Linked DNA regions of Daphnia pulex. The protein of the gene in region 1 interacts with the protein of each later gene in a pairwise test. Links are inferred from orthologs where the notes say so. Each region holds a gene or a part of one and is shown on either strand. Other genes may lie near its edges.

Region 1 (6,290 bases):
GTTGAACTCGCAAGACTGTCGTCACCAACTTGATAGATATTATTGATTTTCTGTTTGAGGCTCGTCGCTAGTAGAGTAGTCGATCACATTTGTCCTTGGTACAGCATGCAGGGACGAAAGAGCGGGCGGCGTGAATGACGCCGCTCTCTCTCTAGGCTGTTGCGCTCCCGTTCCCAACTTTTTCCAATGGCAATTCGTTCCATGATGACTTGCAGGGCCGGCCGGCCGTCGATCCCTTTGGTATTTCAATTAAGCGCGAGTTGCCGGGTGCGGTTGCTGTGGCTGGATGCATTGCAATAAATAAATAAATAAATAAAAAACAAATCTATTTAATAACACACGCGTCAGACATCAATTCTTTCAACGCGCGAGGATGTATTCAATCAGCCGTCCATTGTGTCGGCCAATTCTATTCTCTTCTCTATGAAAATGATGGGCGCCCATCAGGCCAGGTCCCCCGGCTGGCGGAGGGGAGAAGAGACACTCGGATGGGACGAAGAAGTACCAATCAAGAGAGTAGGGAAATATATAAAAACGACAAGAGGGAAAGAAAGAAAGAAAGAAAGAAAGAAAGAAAAAGAAAACAACAATTATTAGAGACTGAAAGGGTCCAAATTTGTTGGCGAGAGTGAGGGTGGTGGCGCATCTTCGCGGGGGGTTCAGTGTTGTGTCTCCGCATCCGGCAGACGTCGGTCTCAATGGGAAGGCGGCGGACCTATCAAACCCCAGGTGGAGTTTCGATTTTCAATTCGTCACGCAATTCTGCGATATCTTGTTCCCAGCGTCGCTCGTAGAAGACGTTCATTAAGAAGCTGCTCCTCGAGCCCACGCCTATGGCCCACGGTAAGTACTTGCTCAGATAAGTCGACCGGTTCCTTGCACGAACATAATAATTGACAAAAGACGGGCAAAGAAAAACAAAAAAGAAGAAGAAGCTCATTAGTCCTGGGGAGGAGACAAAAGCGGCTCAGCGTGCTACACTCGACCGAACGAGAGACAACAACCGCACACGGGGGAGAGACGCAGAGAAAAGAAATTGAGAGGAGACCCAACGAAAAAAGGAAAACGAAAAAGAGGATGCTCTTATTACATCAGTTGACTCAATTCAAATTTATAAAAGGGCTTCCTATTGTTGTCACACAGCTGGATTTAATTAACTGGCTGGAAACGATCTGTCCACTTGTTAGTCTCTTTTGTTTGTTCTACCGTTTGCTGCCAATGTTGTCCTTTTTTCGTTGTTCTAGTGTGAAGGAAAAACGGAGGCAATGAATTGTCTATTTACTTTGGTTTCAAGCGAATAGGTCCAAACACAGCACCACCGATACACATGGGCAATTCCGTCTGAAGGGCTTCAACCCACTTGACTGCAACTTCGCCTATTAAAAAAAAGGAAATTTGCTTTTCAGGAGCATTTCCAAGGCAGCGCAATCTAAACTTGCCGGTCAATCGTGAATGCGACTATACCTAGCATGTTGGTGGGACATCCCAGCAAAGTGTGGACCAGGTCGTGGGTTTCGCGGTAGCGCTGCATCACGTAAGCCAAGTCGGCGTCGTCAACAAAGCGGACAGGCAATCTCGTATCCGGGCTGACGTTCTGTTGAATCAGCCCCATTTATCTAGTCAGATTTATGCTCACGAATTGCGAGACGGCTTTGTAACTTTGTGACTTACATTGACTTCGAGAAACTTGGTGTATTCTCTTCCTAAAGTTCCGTCTGGGTAAGATTTGAGCTTCTCAATGTCTATTGTGCTCGAGTTTATTCTAGGCCTCCCCCTGGTTGGCAATGATAATGAGAAATTAGAATCTTGATAACTAACTGTGGAAAGATTGCTTACATGAGAATTTGTCGGCCTTCTTCACTTTCCAGCATCTTTCTGTGCATCTTTTTGAGAGCAGAGTGGCCAGAACTTTCACCATTGACAGCGACCATGTCTAATTTCGGATCAACAAAAGGAAACTTATTTTCAGGCCTTTTGAGTTTTTTGAGCTCTCGTCACCTCCTCTTGCAGGATCTGTCAGCGCCACAATGCTAGAACCCACAGAAAGGACAGCTCTTTGAAGCAAATTTATGGGAATGTGCCCATCATACAAAGGTTCGCTTTTCTTTGTTGTTTCCGACTTCATCCATTTCACTTGGAAAATTCAATGTAGGGCAAACATCCAGTTAAATTATGTGCATAAGAGAGTTAAGGCAAATTTTAACTTACAAATGTAGGGAATTTGGGTCGTCGTTGTGTACTGTCGCTCGATGAAAGCATGAACAGCAACTCGATTATGACGAGTAATCAAACTCTTCAAAAACATTTTGTTCCTTAATAATCAGCAGCTGTGAATGTTCAATTTCTTCCTTCACCGAAAGTAGGTTCTCACGTAATCATCCATGAATAACAACACGGAAATAATTTAAAAAAAAAAGAAAACAAGTAAAACCACTTTTAACGAAACAACTTGACTTCGTCTGCTAAATAGCTTCAAAAATCGTTTTCGTCCGTGATCCATCTAGTGGTGAGTTGTTTTTCCGCCAGGGGCTTTTAGCCTTGGTTTTTTGGCGCCACATGCTAACTATCCACTCCAACGGTCGTTTGGTCGAATTGAAATAAAAGTTGCGCGGAATAAAGACAAGGGCGGTTTGTTTCTGCGATTGTCTCGTTTTATTCGAGACGTACTGTCTTAGTTTTCAAAAGTTTTGCCAACGTTTTTTTAAAGACTGATGTAATGCTATGCTGGTTTGAATTCTAGCCTACTGTCACACGCATTTGATTCATATGTTTTTATTTTTACTTCGTGGAAAAAGAGCAAGCAACGCAACCAGTGAGTCTAGCCGCGCGCAACTCGACAATCAATACTCTGTCGGGAGTCTCTTGAATTTGAACTGGACGTTCCTTAGTTCAGTCGTTCAGTTGGTCTCCTGAAGTCGAGGCTTTCCTAGACGCTCGTCTTGTTATTCGTTAGGTTTACCGACTTCTCAACACAGTGGGAAAAGTTATACACTAGTGTTTCTTAGTCAACATTTAGCTTCGCTGAGTCAAAACACAATCATCCTGACAAAATGACAGACATGGATAACAGCACATGCCTTGAATTGGCGTTAGAAGGAGAACGTCTTTGCAAAGCTGGTGATTGCAGGTAGAAACTTTCCATGTGCCAAGTTGTTTTGCCCTAGAGGAAATCAGCTTGTCGGTTGGAAAACTTATTGTGATTCATACGTAGTATCAAACACACTTGTCAGTAACTTTGTGTTTGCTTTCTCACAGAGCTGGTGTCGCCTTTTTCGAAGCAGCAATTCAAGCTGGTACCGATGACTTGAGGACCCTCAGCGCCATTTACTCACAACTTGGAAATGCATATTTTTACCTGGGTGAATACACCAAAGCCATGCAGTATCACAAACATGATCTTACTCTAGCCAGGTAATTGTTCACACACTATATTTGTTTGGTTCTAATTGTGGAAAAATTTAAATTTTATTTTCTAAACTGCCATATTTTACAGAACCATGGGTGACAGACTAGGTGAAGCCAAAGCCAGTGGAAATCTTGGAAACACATTGAAAGTAATGGGCAGATTCGATGAAGCTGTTCTCTGTTGCAAAAGACACCTCGACATTTCCAGGGAGCTTACCGATAAAGTACAGTTTTTTTTAGCTCCTAATATCGTTTTCGTCGCCTCTAATGTAAACATGGCTCCCACGCATTTCCAGGTTGGAGAAGGAAGGGCGTTGTATAACTTGGGGAACGTTTTTCATGCGAAAGGAAAACATCTCGGCCGGCTGGGTCAACAAGATCCAGGCGAGTTTCCCGAAGACGTGCGGAACTGCCTGCTAACAGCCGTAAATTATTACGAGTGAGTTTTTATTTTTTCCAAGAGGAAGTTGAGATTGGATTTTACTTACCCGTTCTGATTAACATTATCTTTTGGTTTTCGTCTTAATAGAGAAAATCTTGAACTCATGAGAGAAATAACCGATCGTGCTGCCCAAGGTCGGGCATGCGGGAACTTGGGCAATACCCATTATCTCTTGGGTAGCTTTACGCAAGCCATAAAATATCATCAAGAGGTGAGCGTTTTTGGCTATAAAAAATGTATATCTTATGATATCGTGTGTATGGGTTGTAAAAAAAACGAAGGTTTAATAGGGAAGGCTTAGGGAGATTAAAATCGATACAATCGGGACAAATTATTCGTGGTTTACGTGAGCGAAAAATCTTCTTTCATCGCCCACTTTCTTTTTTCAATTGTGCTTCTAGCGACTGAATATTGCTCGAGAATTTGGGGACAAAGCAGCCGAAAGGAGAGCCCACAGCAACCTGGGAAATGCGCACATCTTCCTCGGAGAGTTCGAAACGGCTGCAGAACATTACAAGTAAATACAGCGACTTCCTTTTTACTGATCGAAAGTTTCCGTAATTTGCGTATGAAAAGGACGGAATCGTCGAGCGTCTTTAAACTTTAAAGAAATCCCATTCAAATTCAATTTACCCCCCTCTCCCTCAGGAAAACACTCCTACTTGCACAGGATCTCGGAGATCGAGCCGTCGAAGCGCAAGCCTGTTACAGCCTGGGAAATACGTATACTCTGCTTCGCGATTATCCCACAGCCATCGATTACCATCTGCGGCACTTGCGTATTGCTGAAGAGCTAATGGATAAAGTTGGAGAAGGTTAGTCGGTGCTGAGAACTCGGTGCTCATTTTCTTTCGGGTTGTTTTTTGTTTGTTCTTTTAAATTTGGAAAATCTTTCTTCCCTGTGATCGCCATTAACATTGTTCCGGTTTGTTTCGTGACCGTCACCAATAGGACGTGCTTGCTGGAGCTTGGGGAATGCACACGCTGCCATGGGAAATCACGAGAAAGCCCTGCACTACGCACAACGGCACCTTGAAATATCCCGCGAGGTGAGCCAACACGAACCAATCAACCGACCTACTAATGGACTAATGGTTATGGCGTAAAATGACCGTTACCCTCTTTTCTCCATCTCTAAGATTGGCGATCCGACCGGCGAGGCGACAGCACAGATGAACTTGGCCGACTTGAGACGCACATTGGGCGTTGACGGCGACGGTGGTTGCGGCGGCATGGGAAACTCAACGAAAGGTCACGCTTCCGAGGCCGACGACGACGGACTCTACGGAGCAGATAGCAAGGCAAGGCGCAGGTTAAGCATGGAGCGCATGGATTTGCTCAAGGTTTGTTTGTGTTCGTCCGCTTTTGTCGCTTTGTTATTATTCTTGGCTTCTATTTTCTCGCATACCGCACCCTCGCGTTCAAACTTGGGAAGGTGGGAAATCTACCGGAGACCTTCCAAAACTTCTATTTTTTCTCTTGGCAAAATCTGCAGCATGGCGATTTTATTATTATTTTTATTACCGTCATCATTGTTTTCGTTGGTCCGTTTCAATTTCGGTTGCTTGCACTGTGATTAATCCAGCTGACGCCGGATGTGAAACAACTTCATAGCAAGGGACGCCGGGAACTGCATGAAATGGATCCTGTGTGGCCTAGACCGCTCGCTGGTCACCCGTTGGTTAGACGTGATATGCTGCCCCCGTTTGTAAGTTTCAACAATCCTCTCTTGATCCGGCTCTATCGGATGGCTCGTTCGTCTGTCTGCTTCTTTCGCTGCCAGTCTATCACAACTGTCACATCTCATAGTCTCGCTTGTTGTTTTTGTCTCTCTATTTCTGTCCGTTACTACCCTGTTGCTAACCGGAATCCATTTCGTTTTGCAATACGATAGGCCAACGGAGACGACGCCATGGATGAAGAGGAATCCTTTTTTAATTTGGTCACTCAATTCCAATCGAAACGCATGGACGATCAGCGTTGCTCGTTGGCAATCGTAGACAACAAGGAGAACCAACAAGCAAGTACACTCCCGTCGAATATTCACGGTGAGTTGTTTTTCCAGGGAAACCAGGGAGGGGGGATACGCGCTCCTGGCGTCGCCCCGAGTTTTGTTTCGTTTGCCTGCTTCTACGAGGGAGTGTGTTTTTATTTTCCTCTTTTTTCGCATATTGTTTCGATAGAGAGCCCGTCGAGATTGAAGGAAGATTTAATGGACCTGATCGCCGGCATGCAGAGTCGCCGGATGGATGAGCAGAGAGCTTCACTACCGCGACTACCCGGCCTGAACAACGCCAATCCAGACATTTTACGTCGGCTGTCTGTGGAGCCAGCCGGCGAGGATGCAGCCGCATTGCCCGATGAGAATTTCTTCGAAATGTTGATGCGGTGTCAGGTTAGATATTCTTCCACCTTTTTGGCCGAATTTGTACTCGTTTCTTTT
Region 2 (6,253 bases), on another chromosome or scaffold:
ATTGAAATCGTGCCATGATCGATTCTAGCATTTATATTGCTGCAATTTTTTAAAAATTAACCTGTACGAATTGGGAATAATTTTGTGTCACATCTTTTGGTGGAGGTAGTATCGACTGTTATTATAGGCAGGCCTATTACGAAATGCTTTTCTTCAATGATTTCATAATCCAACATTGAATAAAAGCTTATTATAGAGAGGACGAGTCGTGTGTTGTAGCCATTATTATATACTTGCGCTGTTTGGGCAATACAGTTTCATAAAGGGACCTGATATTCTTATTCAGCAAAATTTTACTCAAACATAAAGGTGAATCACGACACTATATAAAAACATGGTCTATTTTTATTCAACCTACTCATAATATTAGTCTCTGTTATGTAATAGTTCTGAGCAAGGTCAGTAAACTATATTTGAAATCGGATCCAGCTCTGTTTTGACGGAAGACCCTCGGACCCTATTTGATAATTGGTTGATGTTGAAGAATGAAAAATTCGTCCTGTTGTAGACTTCCTGGAAATTTGAGTAGGAATTGATAATTCTTCTCAAACGCCGGGCTTCCGTGAATTTTTTTTTCTCGACCGTTTGGTTAACGTACATTACATTTAGCTGGAACGCACAGTCTTACGTCCTTTATGTGTTTCCATCAGTTTTTATGGGCGCGATATTTACGCTCCGTGAACAAAACTGCTGGATATAGCGATGCATACAAATATAGTACACAATGCATTCCGCAACTGCCTGTATACAAATTCCCCTTTTTTCTTGCTTGGTCAAACGGCATCAGCAAATGGATTGTTACCCACAGCTGGAATGTTTTCTATTTCAAAAAATAAGAAAGAAAAGAAATGTATTCACAGCATATATATATAGAAGCTATAAATTCTTATTTAAGTGGACTTGAAAAAAAAAAATTTAAGCTCCCATAACTTTTATCCGCGAATGGTCGTTTCAAATTTTATCCTTTCGTCGCAGTCTTTTTCTATCTCTTTCTCTGGCGTCCTACATTTTCACCCGTTTTCTTGAAAACAAATATAATATAAAAAAAAGAGAGGATCCTTTGCAAAATAACCGGAACGTGTTATTACGATGCTATATAAGACAGCATTGAAAGAAACCAGAAATATGCCCAGCTAGACAATATAACAAAAAAAACATATAGCTATGCAGTAGTATAGTAACCTAATTTATTGTTTGGCGTTCCAAATTCGATATTGGACGAGATTGGCAGTTTATGCTGGAAATGATTCGCATACACTTCACATATACTGCCACAAAAATGTGTGGCATTCGTTATCGGATGGTTGTCAAGCCGTCTTGAACATTTCAATGTGTCATTCCTTTTTTAATCTAGACTTTTTATTAATATTTTCAAGTTTTTTTTAAACATTACTTTTTTTTAAATATTATTAGGTTTTTGTTTTAATATTGGGAGAATTTCTTAAAAATTGATGACGATTAAAAAGGAATAGAGGACGAAGGGCTTCATTAAAAAGTTAAAAACCAATATGCGGAAGTGTGGTGGTGACTAACCTAAAAGACTTTGCACCCACACACCAGTCACATAAAAGAAATAATGGATGGGAAAAACCAACCAGCTGATGGCAACGGGCGCTATACTGCTGCCGCTGGATGAGAATTTCCTCAATTTCGAATGTACATACGAACGACTGACATATCCCAAGGGGGGAAACGCGACGACGCGGATCTCAGATTTCGAAAAAAGGATATTTTTCCGATTATCACTAGCCGCTATAGTATATAAAAGCGCCCTCTCTCTCCTTATATTCCTTTGACGTCATCATAGTGTTAAACAAGTACCAAAAGAAGCAACTGCGACGGGATCATCGCATGCTACATGCTGGTGGGATGGCTTTAATCGTTTTCTTCTTTTTTCCTTTTAACCATTTGCAACAAAATGTTAAATCGTAGCGGGTGGTCTAGCAGCCTCACTTCGATATGAATCACGTCTCACACAAGTTGTCGGCGCGTCTGTTTGTTTACAAGAGAGACAGCTCGAAGAGCGCGCATCTGTTTTAAAAAAAAAAAGAAAAAAGACCCAGAAACATGAATATATTCATGCTGCTGAGGAAATGGAGAAAAAGAAATCAGGGCGCGGCCTCGTCGTGTAAAGTTCCAAGAGATATACAAACGAAACGAGGGTTCCGGTTTCCTCATTGAACACACCAAAACCCAACGAAAAACAGGCAGAACACTGAACCGGGTAAAAAAAAGCGCATACCCATAAAAGACCGTGTGCCTGTGATGAAGTATTTCCGGTCGATTTGTGTGCTGTAGAAGCTCCTTTCGTCCCTTTTTCATATATACCCCCCCAGTTGTGAGTACAGCTCATCACCGACACAATGGAGGCTGGCCGTGTCAGGCCAACCGTTGTAGGAAACCGGTTTTTAATGTCCTGTAATTATATGCCAAATAAACAGGAGCGAATTTACAGTCTCAAGACGTTGATTTCATTTTTTTTTTTCTAAATTTATTTTCTGGACGAATACCATTTGTCAAAGCAACGCAGCAGGGAAGCGGCCAAGATCAGGGAATAATCAATCAGCAGTGGGAGCAGTGGGGGAAAATCAAAAATGGAAACGACGCGCTGAACCCCAAGAGTGTGGCGAATTCGTAACGGTTATCGGGCAACCGTCTATTCACACGACCGTGGCGTCATAATAGTGAATAAGAGACTCTATTCAGTCTACTATGCTGTAATGCTCTCTCTCTCTGCTGTGATTTGGGGTCGAGCAAAAAAAATAAAATAAGAAGAGGAGAGGCGGGTTTTGAGTGTTGAAGCTGCGTTGCCAAAAGCGGCAAATAAATATGGCAACGGACGGCAACGTTCGAGTTTTGCCCCGCCTTTGACTGCAGTGCAGCGTAAGTTGAGTTTTTTTACTGTTGGAAAAGAATCAAAAATGTCAAAACTTGCGTTTTGAAACTTGAAATCTTTTCCTTTTGACAAAAGAGACATCGAATATCAAATCGTTGTTCCGATCGCTCTTGTCTCACTTTTCGAATTACCATCGATTTTAGATTCACTCGAGTTCGTGACTTGGATTGAACTGTTGACACGACTCGGTGGCCGTTTGAAAGTTTTAACCAAGCTCCGTTACAATCAGACACCTCTCAAAGTTTAACCGACAATTTTTGGTTTTCTTTTGGATTTGTTTCCATTTTAGTTCACCTTTACAAACAATTAGTGTTAGTGACAGTTATTCCTTTTTGTGGTTTATACAGCATTTTAAAAATCATTTTGCTAGGCTTGGGTTTGATTAACAATTTCCACATTTTGTATTTGCAGGTTCGCTCAAAACAGTTTTCACCATGGGCTGTGCGGTTAGCTCAACAACCGACAAAGAAGCGGTTGAGCGATCCAAGAAGATTGACAAAGATTTAAGGGCTGATGGGGAACGTGCTGCACGAGAAGTCAAACTCCTGTTGCTTGGTGAGTACTTGATTGATTTCTCGCTCATAGTTTTTGTGGCATTCATTAATAATGCTGATTCTGTTCACAGGTGCTGGTGAATCAGGCAAAAGTACAATTGTCAAACAGATGAAAATCATCCATGAAACTGGATATTCCAAAGAAGAATGTGAACAGTATCGACCTGTAGTATACAGCAACACAATACAAAGTCTGATGGCCATCATTCGTGCCATGGGCCAACTCAGAATCAACTTTGCAGACTCCAGTAGAGCCGTGGTGAGTTATCACCTTCAATTTGAATACAGCCCTCAGGCGTTAACTGGTGCTTTTCTAATAGGATGATGCCAGGCTATTTTTCACACTAGCAAGCGCTGCTGATGAAGGAATGCTTACATATGACTTGGCTCAGGTAAGACGATCCATCTTTCCTTGTAAATTGAAAAATCCTAACTTTAATATTCTGTTCGTTAGGTAATGAAACGATTGTGGATGGACGGAGGGGTGCAGCATTGTTTCTCTCGCTCCCGGGAATACCAGTTGAACGATTCAGCTGCCTATTATCTCAACGCCTTAGACCGTATCTCAGCACCCAACTACGTACCTACGCAGCAAGATGTCCTGAGAACAAGAGTGAAAACCACAGGAATCATCGAAACGCATTTTTCATTCAAAGGACTTCGTTTCAAGTACAATCATTCACTTGTTTTCCATCATTCGAAAATCATAGAAACTCATCGAATTCATTTGAATCTACAGGATGTTTGACGTCGGCGGACAGCGATCAGAACGTAAAAAGTGGATTCACTGTTTTGAAGGAGTGACAGCCATCATCTTTTGCGTGGCGTTATCAGGTACGAAAAGATTCAGGCTTAATTTCCCCTTTTCTGTGAGCTTTATTGTTGATACTTTGCTCCAGGTTACGATCTGGTGTTAGCCGAAGATGAAGAGATGAATCGCATGATCGAGTCAATGAAGCTGTTTGACTCGATATGCAACAACAAGTGGTTTGTGGAGACCTCAATCATCCTGTTCCTCAACAAGAAGGATCTCTTTGAGGAGAAAATTACCAAATCATCTCTCACCATCTGCTTTCCCGAATACCCAGGTAAGTTTAATTGACTTAAGTCCTTTTTAATTTTCTTCAGAAACTAATTTGTGTGACGTTTGCGTTCAAGGATCCAACACTTACGAGGAGGGAGCGGCCTACATTCAAATGAAGTTTGAGAGTCTAAACAAGCGTCGTGACCAGAAAGAGATTTACACGCACTTTACGTGCGCCACCGACACCAGCAACATCCAATTTGTCTTTGATGCGGTCACGGATGTTGTGATTAAGAACAATTTGAAAGACTGCGGTCTTTTCTAATTCGATTCTGGGATGCCAGTGCACACCATCCCATCCCAGCTCTCTCTCTTAATCTTAAACTCTCCCCTCTTATTTTTCTCTCTCTTTATTATTGATTTTGTCTTGGATACCACAAACTTAGTCTGAAAATATCATTTTGTAAACTGTACGTTCATCGTCGGCCCGTAAAAGAAAGAAAAAGAAAGAAAGAAACGCAACACAAATTCGCTGTAAGCATCCCTCTCGTTGCGCTGGCCATCACGCACATAATTGCTTCCTCCCTTTATTCGATCGACTCGAAATTTAATCTGTTGATATTTCTTTTGTTTTGCTCGAGCAATGATATTGACACTAATATCCCTTTTGAAGAAAAAGAAAGAAAACAAAAAACGAAGCTCAACCACTCTTTGATTGCCATATTAAAACAAAAAGAGCACAAAACATTTCGAATTCTCTTACATTTTTTTCATACAAATTCTCCTGCCGTTCGGACGCGTTGAATAACCAAAATCCTCCCCATCGCACAGCCATCCTCCCTCCTCCCCCCCCCCCGTTTAACGTTAAATTGTTTGATCGTAACGCCATCAGAGAAAACAAAAGACTCTTTGCGTGACACGCCATCCTTCCTCTTTTATCTGCTTTTCCATGCAGACCATCTATTTTTTTTACTTGTTAATCTATGGCTTAACATTCCTTCACATGCCTGGGCCCTTAACATTTTTTTTTTCTTTTTTTCATTCTGTCCAGGTCTTTCCAGCTCTATTTTTGCCAACGACAGTCCTTCAAACAATTTCCGCTTCACATGCTCAACTACTTTTTGACTCGTTTTTTTTTTTTTCATTATTATTATTCCTATCCAAGATATTTGATACTCGGTCGTTGATTGATCGGTGGATAATTATTTTAGAAAATTGCTTTTTTGTCTAGATAATGATCGTCCTCTCACTTAACCAGCCTGGCATGTCTTCCAATTTGGCCCCTGATGCATCGCTCGAACGATGTTCCTGATAATTCTTTATATATTCGAAATACAAAAAAACAAACCCTGTTTTTTTTCTTTCTTACTCTTTTCTTTTTAACTCCGAACGATTTCTTTTGGCTTTTGTTTTTTTCCTTTGTGTGTCTGTGTGTATTTTCATCCACCCCCCCAAAAAAAATATTTGACTCCTCCCCCTTTTATTACGATTTTTTTTCTCCAATTTTTTTAAGTGTATGCAAAATGGGACGACGAAGTTATGACGGCCTCTTCCTTTTTTTTTACGATTTCTATCGTCTTCCCCGATATATTGTGTATATGGTATCAATACAACTTGCATGCAAGCTGCCTCGAGCCTCTCGCAAACCATTTTTTTTTCTTATTCCGCATGAGAAAATTGAATAGCTTTTCAATAAGGCATCGAATGAAATTCCATTACTTATTTAGTACCCCAAAAGAGAGGGGGGTCCTCTGAGTTCCTCTACGGAAAGTTGCGAGT

The links.
Region 2: the proteins of G-protein-signaling modulator 2-like (region 1) and guanine nucleotide-binding protein G(i) subunit alpha interact in a two-hybrid assay, tested with the Drosophila melanogaster proteins (2 studies listed by BioGRID). The link is inferred for Daphnia pulex from reciprocal best matches to the Drosophila melanogaster genes pins and Galphai.

Annotation. Positions count from the first base shown.
Region 1 is NC_060018.1:4,010,417-4,016,706, forward strand, and holds the start of G-protein-signaling modulator 2-like, read left to right. Parts: upstream 1-2,601; 5' UTR 2,602-2,713; exon of another isoform or gene 2,714-2,795; 5' UTR 2,796-3,050; coding exon 3,051-3,127; intron 3,128-3,255; coding exon 3,256-3,411; intron 3,412-3,493; coding exon 3,494-3,629; intron 3,630-3,701; coding exon 3,702-3,844; intron 3,845-3,934; coding exon 3,935-4,058; intron 4,059-4,248; coding exon 4,249-4,364; intron 4,365-4,495; coding exon 4,496-4,662; intron 4,663-4,798; coding exon 4,799-4,896; intron 4,897-4,986; coding exon 4,987-5,190; intron 5,191-5,432; coding exon 5,433-5,555; intron 5,556-5,741; coding exon 5,742-5,895; coding exon of another isoform or gene 5,896-6,030; coding exon 6,031-6,242; intron 6,243-6,290. Other genes in the region: ubiquinone biosynthesis protein COQ4 homolog, mitochondrial-like, read right to left, coding at 719-875, 1,283-1,376, 1,465-1,594, 1,672-1,774, 1,837-1,933, 1,999-2,133, 2,209-2,305.
Region 2 is NC_060020.1:3,521,933-3,528,185, reverse strand, and holds guanine nucleotide-binding protein G(i) subunit alpha, read left to right. Parts: upstream 1-2,760; 5' UTR 2,761-2,883; exon of another isoform or gene 2,884-3,207; intron 3,208-3,307; 5' UTR 3,308-3,330; coding exon 3,331-3,451; intron 3,452-3,521; coding exon 3,522-3,709; intron 3,710-3,770; coding exon 3,771-3,842; intron 3,843-3,904; coding exon 3,905-4,119; intron 4,120-4,189; coding exon 4,190-4,284; intron 4,285-4,349; coding exon 4,350-4,538; intron 4,539-4,608; coding exon 4,609-4,799; 3' UTR 4,800-6,102; downstream 6,103-6,253. UniProt on the Drosophila melanogaster protein: Guanine nucleotide-binding proteins (G proteins) are involved as modulators or transducers in various transmembrane signaling systems.